2 linked regions of the Coturnix japonica genome follow. Each later gene encodes a partner of the first gene's protein in a complex. Links are inferred from orthologs where the notes say so. Each region holds a gene or a part of one and is shown in the gene's direction. Other genes may lie near its edges.

Region 1 (4,698 bases):
TGTTGTGCTGCTGGCTTTGATCTGTGTCATCTCTGTAGCGATAATTCCCTTGGCTGCTGCTGGGGCTTGCCCATCAGTGCCCTGCAGTCATTGCTTTTGTAATATGTGGGGAGGTGAGGAAGAGCCAGCAGAGCCACAGAATGCCTGAAGGCCTGAGCTGTGGGCAGAGCTGCTGTTGATACTCCTTAGTGATCCACTGGCGGCAGAGTGAGGAGTTTGAACCTGGATTTTGCCTTTTCTTAACCCATTTGAAATATAACTGATACTTTCAGAGCTTACTAACTGGCTTTTGCTTTACTGGGTTTCAGAACACACTTCTTACAGGCAGTATGCTGAACTCCTTTAAGAGTGCTTCCTTTGAGTGTTTGACTTTGCCCCCAGAAAATGACTTACAAATTAAATAGACAGAAATTGAATGTGGTAACAGGTTCTGTTACTTGTCCTCCCATGGAAAATTTCTAGGGGCTGTTATAGAACCGTATCTTGAAAAGGGCAAAGTGCAAAAGGAAAACGATTACACGATTAATTCGTTTTTGTTCCTCAGCCTTTTCTGTTTTCTTTTAGGATACTTAAGGCCTGTTGAATGTTGCTGACAGTACAATACTAATCCTCTCTGTTGATTGTTCCATTTCTTCTACCCTTGCCTAGTTACACGCTGAATTACAGAAATCAGGATACCCAGAGAAAGGGTTTGCCTGATACCGTAAAGTAGCTCGTCAGTGTAGTGTAAGCTTTCTGCTTGCCTAACATCTGTGATGTGGTAGTGTGTTGTTATATGTAGAAGAAAACTATGCTTTATGTGGTCTAATACCCAGGAATGCTGTTTTGTTTATTCAACAAGTTTGGTTTGAAGGAAATATGTGTGGGCTTTTTTTGTGCAGTGGCACGGAGGCTTGAAAGGGCTTGTGGAAGTGTATTTGATTCCTCTAATTCAGCTTGGGAAATAGATAGCGGTCCAAGTGACGTGTTTCTGATGTAAGTCATTTGCTGAGCGTCTAGTACTACAGATGGAATATTTGCACTTTCAGGAGCACTGATGAGGAAAAGGTTTGGGAGTTCTTTTCCAGCTCCATCTGTTTTTCTCTCCCTTGTACAACCAGCTGCCCACAGATAGCAGAGGCTCACCTCCAGGCTTATTGCTCGTATTATGGTGTTGGATGGCTGCAGCCTGTGTCTGTCTGTCGTGCAGGTACCACAAGCTGATCTGGGGGCCTCACAGCATGACCGCAGGCGAGAGAGTCTCTGGAGTCCTGATTGCTGGGGGTGAGAATGGGAATGTCATTCTGTATGACCCAGCCAAAATCATAGCTGGAGAATCCGAAGTGATAATTGCTCAGAAGGACAAGCACACGGGACCAGTGAGAGCACTTGATGTCAACATGTTTCAGGTGGGTTTTCGGTTGTTTATCATGTTCAGTCTTGGATGAGTGGCCTGTTTTAACAGATTGTTGCCACACACAGCTCTAAATATTTCACTTGGAAAAGGGAGTCAGAGCAAATACACCATGGTGCAGCCTCTTAAGGCAGAACTCTCAAGCTTTTCTCACTTGCTGATGAGAGTTTAGTTGCTTCTAGATTCAGCGGGTCAGCTTTTCCTCAGCCCCCCACCAGCTGCATGAGAACTGAGTTGATTTTGTTTCCTAAATAACGCTTCTGTCTATACACACTTACTTTTAGCAAGGCCACCCTTTGTTCATTGTGCCTTCTCTGAAGAGCTTCCTCTCTTTCTGTCCCTTATGAAGTTAGGACTTGCATGTCAGCGGCTGTAGGATGCAGACAAAGGGTGCTCGGTGCCACTAAACCACATCACACTGCCTGGATGTTTGCATCCTGGCCACAGGATTGGGCTGGAGGCTCAAGTGCCATGTTCCCTCCAGCCAGCCCGGCCCTGGGGCAAAATGCTGCTTCCCCATCTGCTCTATCCTAGAAATGTCAGCACTGGGCCCTCTGTGGCTGTAGCTTCTTCACATGTTTGCCATGCAGTGGAGGAACCCTCAGTGAGACAGAAATCTTGTTCTTGGCACACTGGTCTGATTTGGTGTGGGGAGTTCCTTTACTTACTTGGCATTTATCTTCAATCTCTGGTGTTGCTGCTTTTCCCTTAAGAAGAAATTGGCACAGACTCGTCAGTCTGTGGCTAAGACTGCAAAAGCTGGTGCTGAAAATACTCTTACCATATTTTAACGTGTCTTACAGACTAATCTGGTGGCCTCTGGTGCTAATGAGTCTGAAATCTATATCTGGGACTTAAATAATTTTGCCACACCGATGACTCCGGGAGCAAAGACACAGGTACTAGATAGGTATTCATGAAATACTGCAGAGTAAACTAATGGAAAACACGAATGTTACTTAGGATGTGAGCTCATTAAGACCGACAGCTTTGAAGCTGCCTGGGGGTGGGGGAGAGTGTTAAAATTTAACTTGAGTATCAGTTAATTGCAATTAACAGTGAGCTGCATTTCTGGCAATCTTAGTTACAGTCTATGTGGTAAAACAAATAACGAATACCTTCATATTAATGTAAGTAAAACCAAGTTCCTTTGCTGTATGTTGTTCCTGAGTGACTTTAGTTTGTTTTCATGTGGTCATTTTGAAGGAAGCTTGCTTTTGTTAAGGATTCCTGTGTAGGATTTTCTGTGCTGGGAGGTCTGTTTTTAAGCTGTGCAGTCTTTTAGTCCATGTGCTTATTGACTTTAGGGAATGCAGTGCGCCAAGAAGGGCTGGGTTAGCATTGCTTTTCTGTTCTGGGGGAAGGAAGTAGAAAAGCTAACAAACTTTCCCCACTCCTTAAGACATTATTTTGGAAAGGGTGTGACAGGCTGTGCTGTTTGTGTGGCAGCCTCTTGAAGACATCAGCTGCATTGCGTGGAACAGGCAAGTCCAGCACATCCTGGCCTCCGCCAGCCCCAGCGGTCGAGCTACTGTGTGGGATCTCAGGAAAAATGAACCCATCATCAAAGTCAGCGACCACAACAACCGGGTGAGTTAGCTCTGGCACAACTGCATCGGTACTTACAGGGAAGTGCAGGTGGCTTGGATGTCACTGGCAGAGCTTGGCAAGGATAGGTCGTGGTGATGGAACACCACAGAAGAATTTAACCCATGACCTGATTACCCCTACTCCCATATGCTTAAAGCCATCACACCTCCCATGCTGTCAATACAGAAAAGAGCCCACTTATCTTATGGAGAGTGAAATATTTGTATGATTTGTTATAAATATAAGTGAGTATTGCTATAAAAACACTGAGGGTGTAGCAAGTTCAGGATAAAATTTACGTGTGTGTGCTCCTGAATGAGCTGCTTGGTCACTGCATTCCTGCTCAGATAAGCTTCCTAACTTCATATTTTACATATCTGTTCCTTGATGTAATAGCAGTACGGTAAGCTGTTTTCACTGTGTAATTGTAATGCTCTGATGGAGCTTTCATGTGATGATAGCCTCTGCGTAATGATGGCTTTTATTAAAATACCAATAAATACTAAAGTAGTGAAAAAACTCTGTTCAGCTGCTTTTACAGTATTCTTGTATTAAAACAGTTATAAACAGGAGAGCCTTCAGGATCTCACTCCAAGTCTCGCTCGTGGAGATGAGGACAGTATCCCAATCTCAGTGCAGTCAGAAGCAACATCCAGAAGTACAGCTGCTAATTGGCATCTTGAGATTGTGTTTTCCTTGCAAATCTATTTAGACTGGTGGCCTTCTGTCCTTTAGCACTATGTGGTTACCCTGTGCTGTGGCACAATGTTATCCCTTAGATGCACTGTTCGGGCCTGGCCTGGCACCCCGATGTTGCTACCCAGATGGTTTTGGCTTCGGAGGATGACAGGTTACCCGTGATTCAGATGTGGGACCTTAGATTTACCTCCTCTCCACTGCGTGTTTTGGAAAGCCATACGAGGTACGAGACGCTTGTTGTGACCTGCTGCTCTTTAATGTTCACACTGTTTATGACTATAGCAGTTAGTTCATCTCACTGTTTGTGTGGTTCCCTACCAATGCTTGCTTAGGTGGAGCCACTTTCCAGCAGCAAGCAGTGTTGGATACTGCTGGCTGGAAGGGAATGGGCCTCACATTAAAAATAACTTTAAAGTTCCTGGTTTGCTTCTGTTCTGTTTGAGAAGCAGCTGGACTGCAAGGTCGGCAGTAGATTGATTTACGTAAAGAGCAGCAGTGTCTGTGTTGCAGCTACCGCCAAAACTGCTGCCAGTCGCTCAGCTGATACAGATTTTCTGCTAATAAAAAGCTGTCAGAATGTTGATAATCACTGTTTCAACCTATTAGTTTGCATAAAATGTGTTAATGATGGTGCAATCAGTCGAACCATTTGAGTGGATTGGTAACCATATCTGCATACAGAAGTGTTGAATTTAATTTTATTTAATTGAATTTTATTTATGGTGACTGTACCTTTACAGCTACTCATGCAAAAAACAGAAGAAGGAGTGGGGAGGACATTTTGACGTAGACTGCTCAGCTACTGTAGCAACTTGCTGACAAACATGCTGTATCACCATTTTGCATTCGTATTAATATGTTACTTGGTTGTGACTTCTCACACAGGGGTATATTGGCTATTGCTTGGAGTATGGCAGATTCAGAGCTGCTACTAAGCTGTGGGAAGGATGCCAAAATACTGTGTTCAAACCCTAACACGGGCGAGGTACTGTATGCACATCACTTACTAAAAACTG
Region 2 (5,305 bases), on another chromosome or scaffold:
GGAGCAGTCAGATTTTTAGTTTTATTAATGAGAAATGGGCAAAAGACTCCTGACAACCATTCTTGGTTCTTCTAAGGCTTTGGTTCTCGGCTGGATTTTAGTTTATGTTTTGGGGTGTTTTTTTATGCAGACTGAAAAATGTTGGGTTTCTGTGCAACATTATTAGAGCATTGGTCAGAAGTCATCAAGACCACAGTTACTTCAAAGCAGCTTTGTTAAATGAGGAGTAGCTTGCTTAGCTCTGAATTCACTGTTTCTAGTTCTTATGGCTCTTTGCTTGCTGTTCAGTTGCCTGTTTTGAATGTTGCCTCAAGGAACTGAGTAATTCTTTCTGTTTCAGGCACATGGACTCCATTCAATCCAGCAACAGTCAGGTCAATTCTCGGTGAGTACGACTGCGTGCTGTCAAGTAGGCAAAGACCCTGCTGGTTTTTCAGCTCCGGTATGAGAAAGCAGTCACTGCGGAATCAAATATGTACAGTTATCACAATACGTGTACAAGGTGTTTTTCTACTGTAAAGTTGAATACATATTTAAAGGTCTGGTGAACCAATCTGGTCATAGTGTTAGTGAGCTGGTCTGTGACTGTAAAGATGCCGTGGTTTTCTAAGTCTTGTTGTTTTTTTCTCAGTAGTTGGAAGATATCAACTGAAGTATTGACCCTTTTGAACTGTAAATGAATGCCCTGTGTTTAAAACTTGCTCAGCAGCAGTCAGCATTCCATCCCCGTGCAATGTGCTACCTCTCCATAAAGGGGATGGGATCTGTAAGCCAAAAGCTGATCAATGTTCCAATGCTTCTGGCAGTCCGTAGACATTGTAGGCTTTCTCACAAGTCCTTAGAGAAGAGCAAACCTCGTTTTCTCATTCTGTCACTGGGTTATCCATCAAACCCTTTGAAACTGGAAATGAAAAACCAGGAAAAATAAATATTGTGTGACTCACTCTGATTTTCTTGCTCAATTCTTTCCTCCTTTGGCGGACGACTTAAATATCACTTGTATTTTAGTAATTCCTCGCCTGTTGTCAGTACTCCCTAAAGCATCTCACTTCTGTCTTAAAGCACCAGCACATCTTCCCGAAGACCTGGCAGAGCTGAGATTTTTATATGGCTTTCTTGTTTTTATTTCAGGCATGTTTGACAGAGAAAACAAAGGCGGTGTGAATTTCAATGAATTCACGGGAGTCTGGAAGTACATCACAGATTGGCAGAACGTCTTCCGAACGTATGACAGGGACAATTCTGGAATGATTGACAAAAGTGAACTAAAGCAAGCACTAACAGGTTTTGGTAATTCATTCGTAATTACAGTTTTTACGATACCACATTATGTGACCTCAGTATTGTCAGGGCTGCTGCTGGGACGCACGGCTAGAAATAGAAATGAGACAAGCGAAAGGCAGTAGGATGAGGAACCTCTTAGAGGCGCTCTGCCCTGGTTGCAGCCCTGTTGCAACTGTTGGCTTGCTTTTTAGAAGTATTTCCCCGTATGGAGGAAATGAAAGCGCACTTGCTGGTACGTGTGTGTGAACTGCTTTTTCCATTCTGCTAGTAAACCAATTGTCACTTCAGTCCATAACATGTACTGTGTGTAACTGTTGTTATTGACCATGGTTTCTATTGCATGCCTTCTGTCTGTACACCTGTGTTGTTCAGTAGATGTACTTAGCAGGAAAAAACAAAGCTCTCGTAACTTGTGTTTTCTGCTTCTGTTGCCCATGCCCGCCAAACCACCTAGCAGAAAGTCTGTAGTAATTGAATCATCCTAAAGGATTTCTCTTGTCCAAGGTTACCGGCTGTCTGATCAGTTCTACGATACCCTTATTCGGAAGTTTGACAGACAAGGAAAAGGCCAAGTTGCTTTTGATGACTTTATTCAGTGCTGTGTTGTTTTACAGGTAAGAAAGGAGATGTACTTTTAATGTCAATTGAAAAAAAAAACAACACCTGTCTTTTCTCAAACTTTTATGGTTCTCACTTTATAATACTGAAACTAGAACGTGCTTGTGAATAATCATCCACTTGAATAAAGCGTACAGGAGATGACAGAAACATCTCCAAGTGTACATCTTCACTTGTTATCCACTTGCATCCCATACAGATAAATCTTTAAGCTCCTTTTGACCTCTTAAGTATTTTTAATGGGATGATAAAAAGAAAAATATCCTCAGGAAAACATTCAGTGCTCTTTTCATTAGCTCTGATATACAGTCTCTTTGGATCTAGGATGCATTCAAGCTGGAGCGTGTTATGTCCCATGTTGCCCTCTTGAGCATACTCCAATCTGCAATCTAAGTTGTGAGGATTTCCTATCTCTGCCTAAGGCTCTGATTTACAACATTTTGGACTAACAGCTGAATTATTTGATCTTTTGTCTCTGCTGTTCCTGCAGGGGCAGTGGTAGTAAAAGACATTCTAAACAAAATGAAACAAAAGCCAAACCAAACAGCAACAGAAAACCAACCCACCCTTTCAGTTATAGGAATGTTTATGGGGAGCAAGAGAGAAGGGAGAGAAAGAGACTATCCCTCTGCACGTATACTCTTCTGTTTAGAAATAAATCACCCAATGGTTTCTCTAAGAGTCTGTAGCCTTCATGAAACGTAGACAAGACTTTGAGGGAAAGTTGGGAAAGTTCAGCAATGGGCAAGCTCCATTTTAGTATGCTGGAAGATGAATTTTTCCTTTTTTTTTCCTTAGTACAACTAGTGTTTCCATGGCACCTTAGCTATCTTCCACCTTGCAATAATAAAGAAATAAGGCTCTGGGGTTGGACTTAAACACTATCTCCAGAGGTCCCCTCCAGCCCCTACAACTCTGCTTCTGTGTAACTGGTATCCTCATCATCTGCCTTAAGCGCTTTGTTCTTCTTTAGTTTTATGTTTACAGCCTTATGTCACATGCTGCCACTGAAGCACGTACTGCTTTTATATTCACTTGCAGTATGAACCAATTTTGATTTGCTATGAGCTTAAATTCTAGTGAAGAGGGCTTTGCTGTTGCTCATCATTCATGTGCTGTCAGTGAAACCACAGCAGTAGCTGTTCTGCTCCACTGCCAGCGCTGCCCGTCCGCTGGGGGATTGCTGAGAGACAACCAAGGTATTAGTGATGCATTGAGCAGACTGGGCTAGAAGACAAATAGTACTCTTTGGATCCTGCCTACAGCTGACTCTCAAAGGTATCCAGAGTTTCACTTTGTTCCCACCTCCTGAAGAGCCAGATATAAAGAGCGCTCTGGCTTATAAACAAGTGCTTAGGATAGGCTTAGGTGTGTCCTGAGATAGATAGGTAACAAAATCAGATCCAAGCATGAGACACAGCAAAAAGCTCCCTCTGTGTGCCTGGCCCTGTGTTGTGTCTAGAGGGCACAAAGAAGCAGCATTCATACATGGAAGTGTGGCAGTCCGATCTTCCCCTGTGTACAAAAATGTTTCTTCTTTCTCTACATTTTTAGAGGCTGACTGATGTATTCCGACGGTACGATACTGATCAGGATGGCTGGATTCAGGTGTCCTACGAGCAGTACCTCTGCATGGTCTTCAGCATTGTATGATATCGACACCTGGGAATCCCGCACTGGCATTACACAGACTGGAGCTGCCAAATCATCATGTACTGAATAAGGTTATCGATGTATTGTAACGGATATAATTTCGCAGTGGTAAATTTTGTATGTACATCAGTCATTGCTTTCAGAATCAATGTTTGTTTTTGTGTTCTACAACTCTAAGATCAGCCATATCGTGCTTACTGTAGCACAGAAAGCACAGAGTCTAGATGTAACTAGATGGTGCCGTGTCAAACCTAACTTAACTTTCTTCCACATATCCTGCATGGGGACAGAGGACACTTTAGAAACGCCAAATTCAATTAACGCTTGTTAGTTTGTAAGAGGAAAACCTCAGAAGTTGCACAACATGTTTTGCATGTGCCTTACTTTTCTAAGAGTCTGATGTATTAATTTTTAATACAGAACTTAAAATTAAGTAAAAATGTGAGACCAACACATACGGTCTGTGTTTGTGCAGTTTGTTGTAGGCTGGTGGCCGTGTTCCCATGTTGCAGTTCTTGGGTTTGTTTTTTACAGTGCAGGGTCTATTTAACAAGGCTGGCCTTTTCTTCTCTGCTTTCTGTCTTTACTTTCTAGCTTCCTCTCTCTTTCAGGGTATCCTTAGGCCATTTGCAAAGGTAACGTCTTCCCACTGACTTCCACCACTGCATCTTCTTCAGTTGATTCCCTACAACCTTTTATATCCCCTGGGTATTATAGAGTATGGTTCCCTCTTAATGCAAATAATCCTTTTTGGGTTCAGAATAATCCATTCTGAAGCGTCCTTGATGGTCAAGCATTCTCAAAACCTTGCTTTCAATCTCATCATTTAAAATGGAAAACAAGCAAAGATCTATATAAAGCACTTACTTAAGGTTCCCTTTTACACGGTCATTTTCAAGAAGCAACTTGGAGGAAGTGAAATTTAACAAGCTCCCTGGGATTACCCTAAAAGAAAACTTCCTCTACCCAAAGCTGTTGTTCTTCAAGATGTATTTACAAAGTTACGGTATCTGACTGCTGTAGAACTTTAGGAGCTGTGCTGGTGCAGAAAATTCACCAGTGACCAGCTGGAACGGCTCACCTCAGGAGAAGAGCTGCTGAAGGTGGAAAAGCAAGTAACCTGGCTGGGAAGTACACAAGTTACCCCCTCAAAGCATGTTTGATCCTGGATTTTTATCACTGGTGTTTTAAGGAAAAGTACAATTGGTTCAAAAGGCTCTGGTACAGCCTCAGAAATGCTGCCTTGTGCCAAAGGGCGTGGTGTAACTGCACTGCTGCTGATGGACAGCAAACATTTACAGTGCGGTCTGCAGCCCATCAATGCCTACCTTGTAAAGCTTGCTTCCTAAAGAAGGCCCAGTGCCCAGGGAAACAGGAACATACACACAGCACTCATTCTGTTCCAGTGCTCTACTACATGGGAGCAAGACAGGGCACAGAGGTTTCTTGGGAGCGAGCAGCCAGAAGCTGACACAAGGAAATTAGCCAGCACAGGGAAACAGAAACAGGAGGAGGTCTTCTCTTATATAACACTATTGGAGAAGTGACTGAAAGGATGACACAACTTCCCTCCCCCTGGGACACCCCTCATCCTGTGCAACAGGCAGGAACCAGAAACTCTTCCCCAGATTGAAAAATAAGGGAATGTGGAAGAAGAAAGAGCATCTTCTTGGGGAAGACATCATTCAGCCACTGTGTGCCGCTGGGATATACAGTGCGTGCAGTAAAATCCCACAAGGAGTCCAAAGTA

Evidence for each region.
Region 2: the proteins of SEC31A (region 1) and PDCD6 are in contact, whole or in part, in a crystal structure (PDB 3WXA), measured with the Homo sapiens proteins. The link is inferred for Coturnix japonica from reciprocal best matches to the Homo sapiens genes SEC31A and PDCD6. Residues at the interface, in NP_001070675.1 of Homo sapiens: Asn837, Pro838, Pro839, Pro840, Pro841, Gly842, Phe843, Ile844, Met845; in NP_037364.1 of Homo sapiens: Val31, Val35, Leu48, Ala51, Leu52, Ser53, Asn54, Gly55, Thr56, Trp57, Phe85, Trp89, Ile92, Gln96, Phe99, Phe148.

What each region holds. Positions count from the first base shown.
Region 1 is NC_029519.1:41,242,011-41,246,708, forward strand, and holds part of SEC31A (protein transport protein Sec31A), read left to right. Parts: intron 1-1,189; coding exon 1,190-1,388; intron 1,389-2,196; coding exon 2,197-2,292; intron 2,293-2,842; coding exon 2,843-2,983; intron 2,984-3,762; coding exon 3,763-3,905; intron 3,906-4,567; coding exon 4,568-4,667; intron 4,668-4,698. UniProt on the Homo sapiens protein: Component of the coat protein complex II (COPII) which promotes the formation of transport vesicles from the endoplasmic reticulum (ER).
Region 2 is NC_029517.1:80,106,701-80,112,005, forward strand, and holds the end of PDCD6 (programmed cell death protein 6), read left to right. Parts: intron 1-340; coding exon 341-385; intron 386-1,131; coding exon 1,132-1,290; intron 1,291-1,475; coding exon of another isoform or gene 1,476-1,516; intron 1,517-1,788; coding exon 1,789-1,898; intron 1,899-3,456; coding exon 3,457-3,555; 3' UTR 3,556-4,010; downstream 4,011-5,305. UniProt on the Homo sapiens protein: Calcium sensor that plays a key role in processes such as endoplasmic reticulum (ER)-Golgi vesicular transport, endosomal biogenesis or membrane repair.